2 linked regions of the Arabidopsis thaliana genome follow. The protein of the gene in region 2 interacts with the protein of the main gene of each other region in a pairwise test. Each region holds a gene or a part of one and is shown on either strand. Other genes may lie near its edges.

Region 1 (10,641 bases), on a different chromosome or scaffold from region 2:
AAATATGAAAAATTTGTCCCAGAGTTTCATTTATCAGTTTCCTTTTAGAGGATTAGGAAAGTCTATAACAACACAGCCAAGTGGGGCTTTAAGTACAAAGATGTGTGAAAATGAGGAATGCATCAAGTCCCTAGGGAAACTATGTATGGACCGTATGAAAACGTATATTTAAAAAGAAAATCAAGTGAAAGGAAAAGCTTGTACATGACCAATGCATGTCCAAAGGAGATTTGTGGTGAAATATCTTCAATGAGCTTCTAAGAGAAGACAGGTGACATTTATGTATATAAGAAATGGAGTCTCATCATGTTTACTGTTATACAATGAGAATGAGAGATGGTTTAAAAACCTCTTATTTTCATAATTTTCATATATTTGACATTTTAGGGCTTCAACCATGTAAAGAGAATAAAGGGTAATGTACTTTGAGACCTTTTCGATACATGCACTGTGACTTTATCTTTTTAAGATATCCATGTGCTCATGTCAAGTGCCTTACATGCAGTTGAGCAACGATTGGGTTAAGAAATCTTGTTCATTGTGTGTTTTATACGAACGGCTGATAAGTAAACGTAAATGTGAAGGTTTCCCTATATATACGAATTATGATTGGATAGATATATAGATCCTTTAAGTAACATATGTTCTACACTATCTAGACTACTAACTATTTTACACCCAAAAAAGAAGAAGGTCTACACTATTGTGTGGGCCATAGAGCTTGAAGAACATATGTTACTTAAAGGATCATGGTTCGAACTACAACATTTTTAAGTATGATTTGTTATTGTAATTGTTTTACATGAAAATAATATCATACTTTTTCATAAATTCTGAAGATTGGTATGAATTCGACCAAGAATCTCACGGTTGTAAAAAGAGAGAACTTAAACAAAAATTGTATACTATAGTAGTATAGTCACATATTATTAACTATTACAATAGAATGTTTTGCTAATTTTTGTCTGATGTCAACAGAAAATAGATAAGCATGAATATCTAAAAATCACAAAACGTGTTAGATGTAAATATATAATATTGGGTCTAATGCAAATTGGAAGTTGCAATAATATGTTTAGTTTTTTTCTTCAAAAAAAATTTTCTTGACTTTCCTCATCATATATATATATATATATATGAATGCAATTGTGGATCACGAAAGCAACACGACACATCTAAGGCCTAATTTTCAGGCCATTTAACTCAACCCAAAAGCTTCCAGCCCATAAAACTTCAGTACTCTCCTACAATAGGAGCCATTTAACTTGATTGAACTATAAATTGTAAGTTTTCTTTATGTGAAACCTGAAACTGAAATAAACAGAGAAAACAGATGAAAACTTCATTTTCTAAAAGATATATACCAGACACTGTGATTGTTGGTTGCATACTTGAAGGTATAAGGAACAGCTTCCTTACTAACTTTATATGGAACATCAATATTCATTTCTCTACTTTAATATTCAGAACTCAAGTCACAGTCAAACTATCACATTTGCTATCGTTTGTTTTTAGTTCTGATACAAACGAATTCCTAAAAGAAAACAAAGAGACAAATAAAGAACTAGCTCACTTGGGATGAGACCGGTCACTGCTCAAATGGGACTCGCACAAACAGTCGACCATGCAGGCTCACAACCGCTGACGTGTGCAGCGGATCGATTCTTGCGGGAAAGTTCACAACCTACCATAACCAAAATCGGAAAACAATTGACAACTATCCTTCAATTAGCAACTAGGGCTCTGTTTGGAGTGTTAGAATCTAACCTTTTTGAAGGGTGTGATTCCCCAAGGATTGTCAAGTTGCTCAGGTTGGCCTGCTATAACTAGCCGCCCTGCAGGGTCTGACTGAACACGGACCTGAAAGAAGAAATCAACTTATATTGAGGAACTAGATTCTGTGTGCAATCACACAAAAAATTACTATGAAATTCATTACAACGGACAACAGTGTGTGTATTTAGATTCGAATCCAGTATATGTTCACATCTATGTCGTAGGAATCAGTAACACTCCAGTGACAAAACACTGATCAAAGAAGCTTTAGAGATTGAATTCCAAGGAGAAAAGCTCACCTCTTCGCGAAGAAGTCCAGGTACCAGGGCAAATATCTCAAAGCAGTCTTTCTGTAAATAAAGACAACAAAAATAAATTTGGTAAGATTTCAGATTCAAAACAAAAACCCAGATTGCAGTTATTTCCCTTTCTTCAGGCAGTGTTGTTTTTGACTTTTTTTCTTTCTCATGTCTCTAGTTTCAAGAGTTGGGTAAGCGTTGCATTATATGAGGGGGGAAGCGGAAGTGGTACTCACAGTTTCTCTGACATTGATCTTCACCCAGTCTGCAGGGGGTCCAACATCTATAACCTCGGCAGTTGACCTATCAAGCCAAAACCATATTATCAATCTTTTGCTCTGATTATAATAAACGAAATGAAAAGACAAGTTACAAAATTCTCTGTATTCATTTAATCTCCTGCGCTATTTCTGAAATGGCAGTTCTTACAACTACCACCCAGAAAACAGTGCTTGTGATCTACCAAACATTGACAATGCAGGGTTTTTCGATGGATAAGATTGTATGGAATTGCACATGGTAAAGCAATCTTGCATAAGCAACACAAAAATACAGGAGATGATTATCTTTCGTAACTGTTTTTCTGATTCGTGTGAAAAAACAAGGTCCATGCCGGTTGTTGTTTTTTGTTTCTGCACACCTGAAAAGAACATTTATACACGGTGGCATTAGGTAATCATTCTGTAGGTAGTGGAGAACAATAGCCATCGCTTAGGAATATTACCAATGTTTTTGAGGTTCTTTTGCTTTGGGGTTGAATTCAAGCCTTTCTCCTGAAAATATATGTACAAACAGAATCATGTTGAAGCGTAAGTTTGTGCATGGTGAATTATGAAACGTGGTAAGGTCTAAATAGAAACCTTAACAATAGGCTCAGTAACCTCCCCAGATCCAAGAAGGCGCTGAGAATGCCAACCTTGCATAGCACGAGCTGCAGCATCTCTTCTTGTTCTGCCTGACCCTGAAGCTTGATGGCTACTTGCCTACATAAGTGCCCTTATATCAATGAGAGAAAAAGGGAAGGCATATAAAGTTTAAAATTCTGTTTTAGGGAGCTTAAATTGGTAATTAGCTGTGTTGTGTACATATTATTTCTTATGTTTCCCATATAACACAAAACGGTACAGCTTTATTCAATCAGATTGCAGAGAGTAGTATTCAACATGTTAAGCTGATATTACTCATGCCCGAAATTTCCATCTGTATAAAATGATTTTATAAAGAACTGCAGAGCTTTCACTTTATCTAATTTAACAACATGGTTTACCTACTCTTAAATTGACCTCCTCTCAAAGTGTTCACCTACCCAAAAGCATAAGAATTACACAATTTCATAGGAATTCTAACCTCCTTTTCAATGCCTGAAGACGGAAGAGAAGCTGAACCAGGAAGGTTAAGCTCACCATTTTGCCTTAAATGCTTCTCATACTCCAAAAGTGCCTGCGGTTGGAAATAAGGATACAAATAATGAAATTTCCACATCTTGATAGGATAGAAATCAACCAGACTCCATGTTAGGAAGGAGTCAATCCAAATAAACTGTTAGAAGGCTACTAAACCACGACATAAATGATAACGAAACCAGCTAGTCTCAGACACACTACTGACAAAAGGAGCAAAAGAACATTGTCTGAATCGAACATGTATGAACTAAACTGAACAAGTACAACCTCATTAATATCAATGCATATTCAGTACTTAGACCAAAAATGAAATTCACCTTTTCATAGAAAATGCGGAATGTCCAGGAGACTGTAGTGCATGTTCTGAATAACAAAAATGTGGAAAGTCAATTTCATACAAGAAAGCGGAAAAGGTTGAAGATTGAGGACAATACAAGCCATACTTTGGAGGATGGAACGATTCTCCAACTTGCCGCCATAGCTTAGATGTGGTGACCTATATAAGAAAATGAAAATCATAGGAATTTTGAATACCACAGACATAGAGTTTCAAGCAACGTGGGCGGTGGGATAGATTTGAGTATAAACTTTCAAACAGAGTAGATGACACTAAGCAAGTTCAGTTGCCAAAACACAGACCTAACATAATTAACACATAACTGCATTGACTTAATTATTTCCGGAAGCCATTCCTTGTTCTTAAATCATCTTCTCATTCATTAGCTATAGTTCACACGTTATACAACCCAAAACGTATAAATCGCATGACCTGTAGATAATAATCTAAAAGATTTTTAACCTCCTAAAGGGGAAGAGGGAGGAGAAGATCTTAGTAAACATAAAATCATTGGAAGTTCGAAAGTAGATCATTACCACATCGTAGCCACCTAACTTGATAACGGCTCTCCAAAGCCTACATTTCAAAGTAAAGCATGCAGACGTTATCACGTCAAACAAGGCATAACCAAAAGTATGGAATTTTCCAAGAATTAAAGCAACACTTCCAACAACTCACTTGAGACAATTTAAGGGCTGTCCGTAAAACTTTGGGGCTTTAAATTCCAGGAAATTCTCCTTGTTGAAGGCCTCCACTTCTTTAATAAACGCCTCTTGATCCTGTGGTGCCCCTGCTTCATCAACTTCCCTGGCCTGTATAAAAACGTGAACTCGTGATGAAATAGAGCCACTGTGATGACCACAGATCTCACAAAAAACAATATTCAACGCTTAACGCAAATGCAGGCAGACTAGTTGTCTGAAATGTGACAGAAAAGTGCTCTCATCACCTCAGCATCACTCAACAACCATGTCTTCCACTTCTTAACACTTTCTTCAGGAACATGAGGACTCGACGGATCCCCCTTCAAAGGATTTGATTCCCCAAGTGTTGTCTCCTCTTGACCGCCATCACTAGTAATCTTCTTTTCAGACTGATCAACATCACCATTCCTCCCATCAACACTGTTCTGACCACCAACCTCTTCATTAGCCTCAATTTGATTAGCAATGGGAGCATCAGATAAATGAACATCACTATCCAAAGTATGAGTCGTATCCTCTGGAACAGGGGACTTAGGTCTTTCAATAGAGTTTAGGTCTTTCTCTAGTTCTGAAGGCTCCTCTACAACACCTTTGGTACCAGACGGCACATCTTGCTCTTGCATTTCAGTATCCGCCATCATGAAGCTAATTCTCTGAGACATAGCATCACAACAACAACGCAGAATTCAAAATCCAGAAATCATAAATAGAAACGCACTATTGATAATTCCAGAGAGAATGCAAGACGCATGTAATCGAGAATTGGAACGCATCAAAACTCTGAGTCCTACTCTCTCACTGATTCGCTATAATTCAAACAGTGATGGCGACTAAAGCATTAGAAAGCAGAGCTTCACGAAATCATGGAGTACATACATAGAAACAAAAGATACGGTTACCGGTTTCGCCGGAAGAAGAAGACGCCGGAGACGGTGGAGTCGTCGCGGGTTAGGGTTCGATAGCAGCCGGCGAAATGGAAGGACGCCGGCGGAGAAAAAGAAGCGAGAAACGGAAAGATATCAATTAAACGGAGAGATATGCAGATCAAAAGATTTATACGGATGATATAATGAACACATGAATTCATTAAGAAAGAAATTAATGCTTGTTACTTGTATTAACTCTTAACGAAGATCTTAATAGCAAAACTTATTAATGATATTTCAGAAAGTTGGACTTTTACGACCCATTTACATAACAAAGCCCATTATTGTAAACTATGGGCTCAATATGTAAGGTATATTATGAATATAATCTTAGGCCCAATTAAACACGGAAGACAACGTAGGTTTCTGCTTGTCTCGATTGTTGTTGTGTTTTTATTTGTTACTAAAGATAGAGAAAGAAATATCGAAGCATTGTGCGTTCATGTTCAATATAGAGTTTTTGTTGTACCAAAAAAATATAGTGTTTGAATCTTTAATTATAGACTAGCTAGCATATAATTAACGTGATTAACTTTACAATTATGGTGATGATGATTTTCTCAGTATGTAGGTATAGTACTTGTCAAAGTGACAAATAATTGCAATTTAATGAATTGGTGTGGATCCAAAGGATAACAAATAGTATGAGCATATTCATTCGAAGCAAAATGGTACAGAATTAAGCAAAGCTTTTTGTCCAAAATTCTAATGAATTAAGGACCATTATTTTTAGGGAATAATAGTCTTTGATGCCCCACATTTCCAATAGTACAAATCAAGATTTTCAATATATGTCAAGTTTGTTATTTTCATTCACGGACATTAAAACGAGTGGAGCATTTCAATTTGACATATCTTTGTCCTTTTCTTTTTGTTACAGATATCTTTTGTTCACGTTCTTTGAATCATCATATTCATAGCTATGAGATCATAGAAATATCAAATACTGTTAATTAACCTCTTTAAAAATACATATTCACAAGTCTCTTGTGTGAGTAGAAATCCTATACAAACAAGTTTATTCATGCTCTAATAAGATAGATAAATAAGAAGATAGCTCATGACATGGCCTTCATTAGGCTTGTTGCATATACAATAAGCTTACATATAAGGAATTAAGGATGGTCTAATATCTCTTGCTTCACATGAGAAGAGTTATAGGATTCGAGTCACATAAGAGATTTTTATTGTAGTGTGTATAATATATCCCACTTCTACAATTATCCAGTCTATTGTGTATTTTTCATTAATAAATCACTAAAATTTGCACTTTGACAATATATACTTAAATATTTGTATCTCGTATATATATATATACATATTTTTAGCACTGTATGATAATTCTAATTATTCGCTAATTGTTTTTTTTTGGTAAGAATTAGTCGACTATTTTGATATTGGGGTTGTTACATTTATATCTTGCATTGAATTTTATGGACGGACACTGGTCGCAGCCTCACACACTAATTTGAATTTTCCGTTATCATTAATATTCGATCGTTTCGTTGGTACGCTTCCATCACACAATTAATTTAAGCCACCACACTATTATCTTATTCTCATTCAGTTTTGTTTCCATTTCAAATTTCTTACGACGCATATGAAAATGTACATTTTTATAACAATTCCCCTTAAAAATAGATGACAAAAAGAAAAATGTTTTTTTTAAAAAAATATATAAAATAAAATAAATAATAAATCTTCAACAATCGATGAACACTTTGCAATATCTCCACACCTTGGGCAAGAACCAGAAAAAAACATGGGGCACGTTTCGTAGTCGATGTGACGAAAGGCATGACGACGGTTACCATATAAATTCGTCTTCTCAGATAAAGCCTTATTATTCTCAATAGTGTTATACGACAATATACGAAACAAACAAAGACCCCGCTTGAGTTGAGTTTTCCAAAAATTGTGGAACTGTTTCCTCTTTCTTTTTGTACATAAACTAGGTTACAAAAAATTGGAAAATATACAAAATCAAAGGACATAAACTTACGAGATATATCATAACTCATAAGTTGTGAAAGTTGGAATTCAAAAAGGAGCTAACTATGAATCTATGATACGTTATTTTGTTGCTTATACGGAACAAAACAATTCCAAAAACAAAGAAGATGTAAAAGTCTGACCCGGATCATGCGGACACCAAGTTGTACATACAAAATATGTAGGATGAAAATATGAAATTCTCTTCCCATATGCATAGAATAATAATTTACCTTAGTTAAAAAGATTAGTTTCTAAGTTTGCCCCAAATAAAGAGATTAGTTTCTTGAAAAAAGCATTTTGTGGATAGACAAGAATTTAAATAGAATGAAGAGGCGACCATGCAAGTGTTGTACTAGGCCAAATTTTGGAGACGCTCTTTCTCTTTCATAGAGAGAGAGTGAGAAAGTTCTGATACGGCGGCTTCTCACTGTCATCTAGCTGTACCACTGACGATAAATCTCTCTCTTCCTCTAAATCGGTTAAAAAATTCATTCCCTTCTTGGATTGCTCTGTTTTCTTCGGCGGTTCTTGCAGCTCCATTGATTCTCTGTTTCCTCTGCTACAGTTAACTTATACTTGCAGATTCTCGCGTTGATAGTAAAAAGATGGTGAAGCTTTTGGAGCTGTTCATAACTTCATCAAAACCAGTCGTTGAGATTCTGTTGATAACATCAGTCGGATTTTATATGGCTCTCGATGGAGTCAATCTTCTTGGTCATGATGCTCGTAAATATCTGAACAACGTCAGTTAATTATCACTTAATTTTACTCTTTTCTTTAATAAATCTAAATGATTCAACTTTAATATGTCTCTGTTTTGTTATCATTTTCTTGATGTGTGTGTATATAGATTGTCTTCTATGTGTTTAGTCCTTCGCTTATTGGAAGCCGTTTAGCTGATAGTGTTACATACGAAAGCTTGGTCAAAATGTAAGTCAATCTCAGATTTTGCATCTTGAGTCTGTAATCTTTGCTCTTTGGTTAATGAAAATGAGGATTTGCAGGTGGTTCATGCCGGTGAATGTTCTGCTTACATTCATCATTGGTTCATTACTTGGCTGGATTGTTATTGTCATCACTAAGCCTCCTTCACACCTTCGTGGTCTCATTCTTGGTTGTTGTGCTGCTGGTAACAAACCTTAACATGAATGTTTCTGATTTCAGAATCTGTTTAACTTGTGTTTTGCTTATGACTGTGGTAATGAATGAAACAAAACAGGGAATTTGGGGAATATGCCACTGATTATAATCCCAGCTGTTTGTAAAGAAAAAGGAGGTCCCTTTGGAGATCCTGAGAGTTGCCAGAAATATGGAATGGGTTATGTTGCTCTCTCCATGGCTGTAAGTTCTTCTTCTTCTTCTTCTTTGTCTTCTTCTTCTTCAAGGTTTTGTAATCAGTATGTCTCATGACAGTACTTGGTAACGTATCAGATGGGATCTATTTACATATGGACTTATGTATACAATCTTATGCGTGTGCTATCGAACTCTCCCGTTGAAACCCCTCCCTCTGTTGAATCCAACTACGACAGCTACAAAGTTCCCCTTATTTCTTCCAAGGAAGAAGAAAACAACCAAAAGGTTTCATCACATATGCACATGATCAGTAACTATTCATTTATCAAAGTTGGTAGTGACTGTGTGTATATGACAGGCTGGGAGGTGGGAAAAAGTCAAGCGGAGATTGGTTTCACTGTCACAAAAAGTCAACCTTAAGACAATTTTTGCTCCATCAACTATTGCTGCGGTTTGTGTTTCAATGGCTCTGTTTTATACATTTGAGACGTCACTCACACTAGTGTAATCTTTCTAATTACCCTTTTTGTTCTTCTGTTTCCAGATGATTGCACTTGTGATCGGGCTCATTACTCCTTTAAGGAAGCTAATAATCGGCACGGAAGCTCCTCTCCGGGTGCTTCAAGACTCAGTAACTCTAGTGGGGTAACTGCAGCTAAAATTAGACCATTATCTTAGCATTAGCTCAACAATGAATCATCTCTTGGAAAAACGTAACTCACTCATTCGAAAGCTTCTTATGTGTCTTGTTTCTTTTGGCTGAAGAGATGGGGCAGTTCCTGCAATGACCATGATTATAGGAGGAAACCTACTCAAAGGTTTGAGGAGTTCAGGAATGAAAATGTCCAGTATTATCGGCGTCTTGGTTGCGCGTTACGTTTTACTGCCTATGAGCGGTGTTTTAATCGTAAGAGGAGCATATAAGTTGGATTTAGTTACATCAGAGCCCTTATACCAATTCGTTCTTCTTCTTCAATATGCTGTCCCACCAGCCATGAATCTAGGTTCATTGCTCTGAAACCAACTCTTTAAAAAATACAGTTACTTCTTTCAGATAAGATCACTTCATTAGTTTCACTTACTCTTGCAGGTACAATTACTCAGTTATTTGGAACTGGGGAGAGTGAATGCTCAGTGATTATGCTCTGGACTTACTCTTTGGCTTCGATTGCACTCACTGTTTGGCCAACATTCTTCATGTGGCTTGTAGCTTAGAATAGACCCCCATACTCATCATGTTACATGTATTGTTTTGTTCCATTGATTCAAGAATTGTTCTTGGACTTCCAGATGATTGGATCAAGTATAATAGAGAACATATACTTATAAGTCTTTTGATACGAACTTTGGACTTACAGTCTGTAACTTACAGATAGAAGATCAAGTCCAGCCTCATCAAGAATCTGCTATTTTGATCCTCATTGTCTTGGGATCCATCAAGAGATTGTGAGGCTTAAAATCTCTGTTATGATACCCAAATCATTCTCTCTTGAAACAGGGTAAAACCAGAGAACAATCTACTTGACTACTTGTGACTGTGGCCATGGCAGAAAGCTATTCCTTTGTTTAGTTTGGTACACCTGAGAAAAATTTCAGATTGTTACATTTGGTTTAATAGACTATTACATATCAGTCAAGTGAGTACAAATGATGAGAGAAAAGAGTGGTGACAAAAAGCTCTAATTGGTGGATTTTGTGATAAATTTCTTTACATCTGTGTCCATGTATCTCAAACCTAATCGTACTCTAAGATCAATTAATGTCTCATCACGTCATATTTGAGATTTTGATGTATAACCTTCCACATCAGGGCTAAAGTGCATGCTAGACTCCAAGATATACTATATGTAATATATAAATTTGTAGCTAGTGAAACTGTGGAAAAACAAAAATTATAGTACTGAA
Region 2 (10,119 bases):
TACGGCATTAGCCGCTGGGGTTTACACAACTCGGTATGCATTGCTTAACATGATTTAAGAAGCCTAACATAAGTAAATTGATTATTATCGCATTTTTAAAACTTATACAGCTGTGATTTAAGAAGCCTAATCGTTCTTTTCTTGACAACAGAGAAGGTGCTAGGGTTACCTGGGGTTATATCAATAGAATTCTTGGGCAGCCATCACTGATCAGAGAATCTTCCATGGGCCGATTCCCATGGGCAGGCTCAGTGTCTCAGTTTAAGAACAAACTTAGCACAGCTGCAGGGGCAGCAGCATCTGCAGAAGGAGAAAAGCCTCTTGAAAATGTAATTCTCCATCGTTCTTTGAAGACGAGAATTGAGCGTCTTGCAAGAGCCACAGCAAATACCAAGTCACATAAAGCACCATTCCGAAACATGATGTTTTATGGGCCTCCAGGTACCGGAAAAACTATGGTGGCGAGGGAGATTGCTCGGAAGTCGGTGAGTTTGTTTTCTTTATGCAACAGAGAACCTGAGCCAAGTTCAGGAATCTACAATAGATTGAACCATTACATGCCTCACTTATTTACATCTGTTTGATTATTTCGTTCTGCAGGGTCTTGATTATGCTATGATGACAGGAGGAGATGTTGCTCCTCTTGGTGCACAGGCTGTTACAAAGATCCATGAAATATTTGATTGGGCTAAGAAATCAAACAAAGGGTTACTGCTTTTCATCGATGAAGCTGATGCTTTCCTATGCGAGTAAGATGCTTTCACCTTTTACCTCAAGCCTTCAGTTATATTACTGATTCTCATCTACTAGACCTCTAAAATATAGAATATAGTTGAACAAAAATTTCTTGTATTCTGATTGCAAACACAATTCCACAATGTAGTATAGTCGCAGTAGGATCAGTGGATTGTTCTTGCGCATTGTTACTTCTACTGTATCTCCAGAGTTCTCTTGTCTTAATAGTTATCAAATTCTTGATCTTTTATCACAGACGTAACAGCACTTACATGAGTGAGGCTCAGCGCAGCGCTCTGAACGCGTTGCTCTTTCGAACCGGTGATCAATCGCGGGACATAGTCCTTGTCCTGGCTACAAACAGACCTGGAGATCTCGACAGTGCAGTCACTGACAGGATCGACGAAGTTATCGAGTTTCCTCTCCCTGGTGAAGAAGAACGCTTCAAGCTCCTCAAGCTCTATCTCAACAAGTACCTAATGGGTGACGACAAGAAAGGTGAGAAAGACTCAAACCTTAAATGGAGCAACTTGTTCAAGAAGAAGAAGTCACAGAAGATAACCATTGAAGGAGACCTAACCGACCAAGTGATTAAAGAAGCTGCAAAAAAGACAGAAGGCTTTTCTGGTCGTGAAATCGCTAAGCTTGTCGCCGGTGTTCAAGCTGCGGTATATGGACGACAGGATTGTGTCTTGGATTCCCAACTTTTTGAAGAAATTGTGGATTATAAGATCGAAGAACATCACCAGAGAATCAGACTTGCGACTGAAGGTGGCCAATCGTTTCCGTAGATCTTTTTGTATCACCGAATCACTCCGTTGTTTCGATTCTATTAAACTGAAATAGTAACATTGTTTGAGTAACCGGTTCAATTTCGGTTAGCTGGAATTTGGTCCAATTTTTATCGTAGGTTTCCCGGTTATACAAACCGCTTCAGACACATGTGATGTGACCTCTCTAATCTTATTGCTTTCAAGTTTCAAAGTGTGGTCTCTGAGGGGAACACGGCCAGCCGTATAATAGGACACGTGGTGAATACTCAGAGAAAGCTCCACAACCAAACCGCATCCTTGGTTGCCACGTAACCTCGTGCAAACACGTGGCGAACAGTAACCGCTTCTCGGAAAGACCTCTGGTCTTTGGATTCGAACGTCTCTCTATAACTATAACTTCCGAGGACATTGGAACTAGGATCAAAACTTTTTAAAAAGGGACAAAACTAAATTGGTCATAGCAAATTCAAAGAAGTTTGATTCGGAATCACTGGTTAAAGAGATGATGGAGAGAAGAAGAACGGCATTGGTATTGTTTGTGGTAGTGGTGGTGTTGACGTGGCAAGAGGGTGTATTGGGGAAATGGTTAGAGTCGACGGCGAAGGAAAAGACCGGTTCATGGGCTGGTTGGGTCTCCGACAAAATCACCACGTAAGTGATATCTAATATCCGAAACTGAAACACACCTGTGGTTGAATCTGTCCTTTACGTAACCATCACGTTGATCCAATTCAGTCTATACTTTCTCTCATTTGGATGTTAAGTACGTGTTTAGTGAGATTAGTAATGTCTTATTGCGTTTTTTATTGGAATCTTTAGATTCGTTCACTACATTGGATATTTACGCATGTATTTGGCCGTAGTTAAGTGAGTGATTGAGAGGTAACGTTTTACTTCTTTTCCCAGTGGATTTGGTACTAAGAAAGAAGAAACAGGAATTTATCAAAAATCTAAAGATGAAGCAAGAAAAGCGGCTCAAGCCGCGGAAAACTATGCTTATGACAAGGCAAATTACGTCAAGGACTCTGCTTACGACAATGCAGGTTACGCCAAGGATTTTGCTGAGAACAAGGCAGAGTACGCAAAGGATTTCGCTTATGACAAGGCTGGTGATGCAAAGAACATGGCATACGAAAATGCGGGCTATGCTAAGGATTTTGCATATGACAAGGCTGGTGATGCAAAGGACATGGCTTATGAGAAAGCGGGCCATGCCAAAGATTTCGCCTATGATAAGGCAGGCAATGCTAAGGACATGGCCTACGAGACAGCGGGATATGCAAAGGATTTCGCCTATGATAAGGGAGGCTACGCGAAGGATGTTGCCTATGATAAGGCAGGCAATGCAAAGGATATGGCATATGAGAAGGCGGGAAATGCGAAGGACATGGCCTACGAGAAGGCGGAACACATAAAGGATTTCACATATGATAAAGTGGGATCTGCTTACGGAAGTGCACAGAGTATGATGGACTCTGGTTATGATAAGGCCGGTGATGCCAAGGACATGGCCTATGAGAAGGCAGGCATAGTAAAAGACATGGCATATGATAAAGCGGGGGATGCAAAGGACGTGGCTTATGAGAAGGCTGGCATTGCCAAGGATATGGCCTATGATAAGGCGGGCAATGCCAAGGACATGGCCTATGATAAGGTGGGATCTGCTTATGGCAGTGCGCAGAAGGCAAAGGATTCTGGTTATGAGAAAGCTGGTGAGGCCAAAGACTACGCCTACAAGAAGGCTGGCAATGCAAAAGACATAGCTTACGAAAAGGCCCAAGATGCAAAAGACTTTGCATATGACAAGGCGGGTTACGGATACGACAAGGCCGGTGATGTGATTAGGATGGCAACGGATAAGAGCGGTGAAGCCTATGAAGGAGCCAAAGAAAAGTCAAAGAGTGCCAAAGACACGGCAGGAGAAGCAATGGATGATTCTATTGACTACATGAAAGACAAATCACACAATGCCAAAGATGGAGCAACTAGAGGATTTGAAGAAGCCATGGAAAAAGTCGGCGAAAAGTACGGTGTAGCCAAAGAATCCACAAAATATGCTTATGAAACCGCAAAGAAAAAGGCTTCTCAAGTTGCGGGAGAAATAAGAGACCGTTATGCTGAGCTCTAAAATCAATTTGTTATACAATAAACACAAAGTCTTTAAGTTAAAGCAATGTTGAACAAAGAGAAGTAAAAATAGTATATATATATATATAGAAATCTCTTACAAATCCTTCTTCTTTGCTGCTTGTTTATTGTTGTGCATCCAAACTTTAAACACTTGTCTTTTAACTTTAATCTCACGACAAAACCGATTCACTTCATCATCTTCTAGTTTTGTCATTCTCCAACCAATCTTCTCAGCAAACTCCATCATCTTCTCCTTCTGTTCTTCATTAAACTTTGTCCTAAACCGTTTCTTGGGTTGATAATGATGAAACTGATCCACTCCATAACCACTAAAAGATTGATGAAACTTGTTTAGATCCTCCGTCGATGACTCCGCCGCACAACCACCACCACCACCAAAACTCATCATTATCGGAGACACGTGGCGGCTTCCGAGTGGTCTCTGTGAATGGCCAAAGCTATTGAAATTGACAACAAACAAACCATCGATCTCTTTTCTATGGAAGCTCCGGTGGCAATCACAAGCTGCACAAAGAAGAGACTCCACCGTGCCTTCTTCCCCGGAAGACATAAACTCGCCGCAACCGTCGACAACGTGTCCACCGGAGCTCGCCGCGTGATTCTTTTGGCATTCTCTATACCTTGCCTTCCCCGGAGAAGTAGTTTGAGGCCTAGCGTATGATCTTGGAGCATGAGATATAGAAATTGGGTTAGTATCAAGATCCGGATCCGGATCCGGGTCCGACCCGTTTCTTTTGGTGGTGGGTTTCTCTTTGTTGGCGGTTTGGGAGTAAGTGTACGGAGGAAGACGATGATGATCTAGAGCTGATGATTTTCTTCTTGTCATCTCCATTTTCTCATCTTTCTTCTCTCTAACTTCCATCTTTTCTGATCTTGAAGCTTCTGAATAAAGAAAACCCTAATATATAACTTTTCTCTTAAACAAACATTAAAACTTTCTTAGTAATCTCTCTCCAAAACCCTAAGCTATTTTGATTAAAGAAATCATCATAGCTTTAGCTTCTCATAAACCTATAGAGAAAATGAAGATGATAAATATCTCTTCCAAAGTTGAAACCTTTTTAAAAATTTTGACTTTGACTTTTGTATTAGTGATAGCCCACCAAAACCTACTAGACTAATCTCAAGTCTACAAGCAACTAAATTAAAGGGGAAAACTTATCTAACCCCATTTAAGAAGAGATCAAGAAAAGAAAATAAAGTTTAGGTCGTTACTAATGGAGAAAGAGAAAAGAGGAGAGAAGAAGACACTATTGGTCCTTCTAGAGAGAGAATTAGAGAATCGTGTTTCCTATTGCCCATCAATTTCCGAGAGAGAAAAAAAATCTAATGAAGGAGCCAAGTGGGTTTGGTCTGTGCCAATAATAATAATAACACAGTCCACTAAGAAACAAGAGATGGAGAGAGAAAGTAAGATGTGGACTTGTAGCAGACAGTGCCACGTTGTTTCTCTATCATACAGTGTCCGCACATTGGTCGCAATACATCTTTCTTTTATTGGTTTTTAATGTTGAGTAATGATAAAATTATCTTGTGTTAATTAAGTCGAATGTCAACAATTAGTATAGTTGATGAGATTAGTGTCTGTGGCTTAGCGTAAAATTAGCGATGTAAGTAGGTTTAGTACGATCAGTGCAACATATTATGGTGCATGCATTAAATATTGTTTGTAAAATAAAATGAAAGATTGAATACCTTATGAACATTTACTTTGTAAAATAAATAAGATAACCAAAATATTGTTTGTAAAATAAGCGAAAATCGAATTGGTCGAAATATTTGTAATATATGGTATGGTCTCTTATCTACTTTGATCTGATTTTTAAAATTCAGACAACCAAAATAAGATGATTTGGGCAGAATTTTTTCTCAACTCTTTTATTTTGCGCTAATTAGAGTAACCAATCACATTCTTAATGTTTTTTTCCGTACACACCCTTAATGTTTAAAGTTATGAAAACATACAATAAATAAAAAAAATGGAGTAATCGACAGTGTTTTGACCGGATTTGTGTTTCATAATGCAATCCTTACACAATTCTCATTGGAGAGCTTTATTTCATTTTATTTTTTTGGGAAAAACTGGAGAGCTTTTACCGGACTTTTAATATATAAAAACTTATGAAAAAAATTCTTAATAGGCTTTTCTTCCACTTGTCAATTTATATTTAATATTAAATTTTTCATTTTAGTGTAAGTTACATTAAAATAACAATATTTATTGTTAAGATATTCAAAATAAGTATCTAATGGATGAGAATTATGGTTTAGAAGAATAAATATAAAATCAAAACAAAAAAAAAGAACAGAAAGTGGACGAATGATGTTCTACTTGACATATAAAACTAAAACTAAATCTTCAAACCAAGATATATATATATATATATATATATATATATATATATATATATATACTTTTAGTTACGGTTGATTTCTCCAAAATGGAGCCAAAAGATCAGTAGACCATGATAGAAGAACAAAAAAAGGATTTTAGTGCTGGATAATGATTATGATTCGTTGATGACATACAGGATTATTATCATTTGTTTAGTTAGTTGAACAATTATATTTAAATTGAATGGTCAGTCTAGATACATGTAACTATATGCATTTCTCATGTGCGACATATCTCATCCCATATGCTGTTCCTCGCGGCCACACGTTCGGGGAAATCTAACTTGATTTTTTTTACAATAAACAATACTAGTACTTCGTGAAGAAAAAGAATTACTAACATTTTGAGATTCTTAATTTCTAATAATGCCTTTTTTAGAAGAAAAAAAAATCAAAGTTTAGGAGAGAGGAAAATAATAATATTCTAAAGTTTACAACTATCATCTAAGAAACTAGTATATATCATTCTATCATTGTACTTTTTTAAATATAACATTTATCATTATACAAAAAAATTCATAACATCCTATGAAAAATAAATAAAACTTAGGCTTCTTTCATTTTTTAAATGTGAAAAAAACAGACACAAAATCTTAATAAATTGAAAAGGGAGGATTATAAAGGAAACAAAGCCTCATTTGAAACTTAAGTATAATTGTTTTGAAGTATATTACTGATATCTATTTAATATGATTATATATTTATATATATGTAATGATAATCTATTTTACAATTAGTAGAAATTATTATTTTTATTGATATAACATATTTTTTTATGTTTCATTTAATAACATTTTATGATTTGGTCGAGTAATTTAGTGATTCTTTTTATAAAAAAAAATAGTAAGGAGGAACATTGGACCAGACAAAAAAATACCAAAAAAATACAGTAAGGAGGAACATAAATTTTGAAGAAAATAATAGGAATGACTTCTGTCATTCAAAAAATGATTAAAAATCTTTTTGTTCAAAATGTTTCATACAAAATAAATAAATAACATGTTATTTTCTAATCATAGCTCATCATATAGAGGCCAATTTCCTTTTTAGATTATAGCAATATATTACAACAAGAAATTTATATCTAAAAATAGACTTATAAATTTTAAAAAACTAGCTAATAGTTTGTTGATTAAACAATTAAAGTGCTAGATTTTTACTTAAACATAAAATAATATGTTATATTAATGATATTATTTTTACAATTAATGATATTATTTCAATTTAAGTAAGAACTAAAATAACAAATTGATTAAACAATTAAAGTGCTAATTCTTTTATTTTTGGATGACATGACATTTAAGAAGAAACTATGTTGAATAGTGAATACAAAGCACAAGAATCTATTAAAAAAAAATCTTTAAAAGCAAAAAGTCATATGCTAATCAAAATGAGTGGAAAGTTCCATCTTGAAAGTTTTTCTCCTTGATTAATCCTTGTGATTATAACTCATTACAGATGTAAAACACATAATGCACAAAAATAAAAATTCATGATGTTACTATGTTGGTTAAAAATTATTTAATTAATTTTTATGATATAGTGAAAAATAAATAACTGATTGTAACTTATATGTGATCGATTAAGCTCTAACGTATATAAGAAAACCATGCCAAAAATGGTATACAAAATTTTATATTATGACTTTAAAATTTCCAAAAAATTCTAACATAATGTTGATTAAATTGTTCGTTATGTTTTATTTTATATACCAACACCATAATTTATATAGATAAACAGAACTGGCGTAAAAATACATTAAAAATATATATCTACATGACCAGGGGTAATGCATCTGGATTCTCTGTCTGGTAACAGAATATTTTCTACATGAATTTAAATTGCTATTGTGTTAAAATATTTCTCTAACCTTTACTTTTCTTAAACATGTCGGCAATGACAACTAGTTATGGATCAATTTCCGAGCAATCAGATAAGAGAAATATTAAAATAATTGTATACTATTGTGTATCTGCTATAATTATATTTATTTTAGAGTATAAAATAAAAATGTTTGTATGGTAAAATTCGTGTAATGCACTGGGCATGCACGTGGCAGTTCCCCAGCCTTTTTTCTTGCACTCTTTGACCGAGTGGCGAGTGTTAATTGCTTTTACTATGGTTGATGACACTCTAATTACTAGTAGTTGGACGACAGCAGGTAAATCAGTAAAGTAATCATGCTTATTAAAAATACTAGGAGTATTATTTTTGTGTTACATTAAGCTCACCCTTAAAATAGATAAATGCAACAAAAGATCTATTTACTTCTAAGACATTTCTTAAAATTATTAAGTGTAGAGAAGAATGAAGAAAACTTGATTAAAAAAAATTGTGTGTTTGGTCTCTAAAACTGAGAAATTGATGAGAGTTTAGAAATGAAAGTCACACAATATCATTACTCTCTCGTTTTTGTCAATAATTTATTCATAACTGATGTTACAGTATTTATTTTAATTTTTATTTTCCACTAGCATACTTGAAAGGCTGAAATGAACCCAAAAACAAAAAAAACAAAAACAAAAAAACTTTAAACAAAAACTATATACCTAATACCTAGATAAACGAAAAGTAAAAGAACTCCAAAAATGAAAGCTAAACGAGACTAAAAAAGAAACGCACCAACTTGCTCACTTTGAGTTCTTGAAGCTCAATGACAATCTGGTGGAGCCAAGCCAAGTGATTTAAGGGAAATTTGATTTTATGTTCATTAGATTTTAAGAAGAATATGCAGTGGTTCTTCTCCTCAAGAAGAAGAACAAAGATGTGAGAGTAATGAGAAGAAAAAAAACGAAAGGGTTATTTCGTATGCTTATAGTAGTTGAAAATAAGGCAAGTATTCAGATATATTTAGAGTATCTCCACCAGTAGTCTCTCAATGAGATACCTGACAAAAAAATATAACTAAAAAATAAAAAGTAAGAGAGAAGGAAAAAAAAGTAAGAGAGAATGAGAGTTGAGTTTCTCGTAGGAGAAACTTTGAGAATCTATTGTCATCCAATTTGGAAAGTTGTCATCGTACTATTAGTTCAACTATTAAATAACAATTATTATATATGTCTTAATTAAAATATTAATATATTTTTTTTTGAGAAACTTTCCTTACTTATACTTAAATTCTTGATGATAGAAAAAAAAAAAAAAAACATTTTAGTGGATTCAATATGTCTTCGGACCCATTGACACTTTTGTAATTGGGCCGTATAGATATTAGGCCCTATAACTAGAAGATCCTCATTCTCTGATTCATAGAAAATCAAAATACTAGTGACATAGAATTGAACCATAGATTATTTTATGAAATATAATATATCAGGTTACATTATTTTGAAAGAAGAACTGAAACCAAAGAAATAAGATAAATAAATTCATTCGGTGTTGATGTGAGAATCGATTACATCCAAATTAGTTTTCGGAGTAAACTGAAGCAAGAAACTTTTTGAGACGTCTGTTATAGACACAAGGTCTCTCCAAATGTGCCAAGTGACCTGCTTTTTTTATACTCTCCATTGTTGCATTTTCGCCTAGTTGCCTTTAAAACAAAATATAAACGAGACTAAATTTATGTAATTAAAGAAGAAAAAAGTACTGTATTGAAACTTACTCTTTCATGCTCTTGGCAAATTCAAGGTTAAAAATTTGATCACTTTCGCCCCACAGAAGATGTATTTTCTGCCAAACCAAAAAAGAATAATAATATCAATTGATGCGTTAAGTAGTAAATTTTAATTATATTTTAGATTTAAGTTGTATAAATATATATAGCATTCTTATAGTATGGAGAAATATTATTTTATATATGACCATACCTGTTGAAAACGAGGGATTGTCACATCTTTGTTGCTGATGACCAAAGCTTCTAACAATTCTGCTCTTTCCTTCCTATTGGTAATCATCACCTTCACATTTTGCAAAAGAATGTATATTACGACAGCACGTCCAAACTTAGCCCCGGGCGTTCGGATATTCGGGTCGGGTATTTTATGTTTAAAAATTTAAGATCCGTTCGGGTAATTTAAGATTTTGGGTCGGGTTCGGGTTCGGGTTCGGGTTTATTTATATATTG

What was found.
Region 1: the proteins of HB24 (region 2) and AT1G76510 interact in a two-hybrid assay, tested with the Arabidopsis thaliana proteins (one large-scale study listed by BioGRID).

Annotation. Positions count from the first base shown.
Region 1 is NC_003070.9:28,707,339-28,717,979, forward strand, and holds AT1G76510 (ARID/BRIGHT DNA-binding domain-containing protein), read right to left. Parts: upstream 5,611-10,641; 5' UTR 5,396-5,610; intron 5,173-5,395; 5' UTR 5,161-5,172; coding exon 4,765-5,160; intron 4,628-4,764; coding exon 4,494-4,627; intron 4,392-4,493; coding exon 4,352-4,391; intron 3,975-4,351; coding exon 3,922-3,974; intron 3,842-3,921; coding exon 3,727-3,841; intron 3,516-3,726; coding exon 3,423-3,515; intron 3,059-3,422; coding exon 2,936-3,058; intron 2,849-2,935; coding exon 2,800-2,848; intron 2,716-2,799; coding exon 2,652-2,715; intron 2,379-2,651; coding exon 2,312-2,378; intron 2,127-2,311; coding exon 2,076-2,126; intron 1,861-2,075; coding exon 1,768-1,860; intron 1,685-1,767; coding exon 1,593-1,684; coding exon of another isoform or gene 1,589-1,592; exon of another isoform or gene 1,455-1,588; coding exon 1,343-1,454; 3' UTR 1,001-1,342; downstream 1-1,000. Other genes in the region: AT1G76520 (Auxin efflux carrier family protein), read left to right, coding at 8,046-8,183, 8,291-8,370, 8,445-8,569, 8,660-8,781, 8,872-9,021, 9,095-9,187, 9,281-9,381, 9,502-9,740 and 1 more.
Region 2 is NC_003071.7:7,967,390-7,977,508, forward strand, and holds HB24 (homeobox protein 24), read right to left. Parts: upstream 4,693-10,119; 5' UTR 4,522-4,692; coding exon 3,733-4,521; 3' UTR 3,637-3,732; downstream 1-3,636. Other genes in the region: AT2G18330 (AAA-type ATPase family protein), read left to right, coding at 1-33, 152-485, 601-749, 992-1,526; AT2G18340 (late embryogenesis abundant domain-containing protein / LEA domain-containing protein), read left to right, coding at 2,011-2,159, 2,415-3,636; AT2G18360 (alpha/beta-Hydrolases superfamily protein), read right to left, coding at 9,459-9,585, 9,658-9,725, 9,863-9,952. UniProt on the Arabidopsis thaliana protein: Putative transcription factor.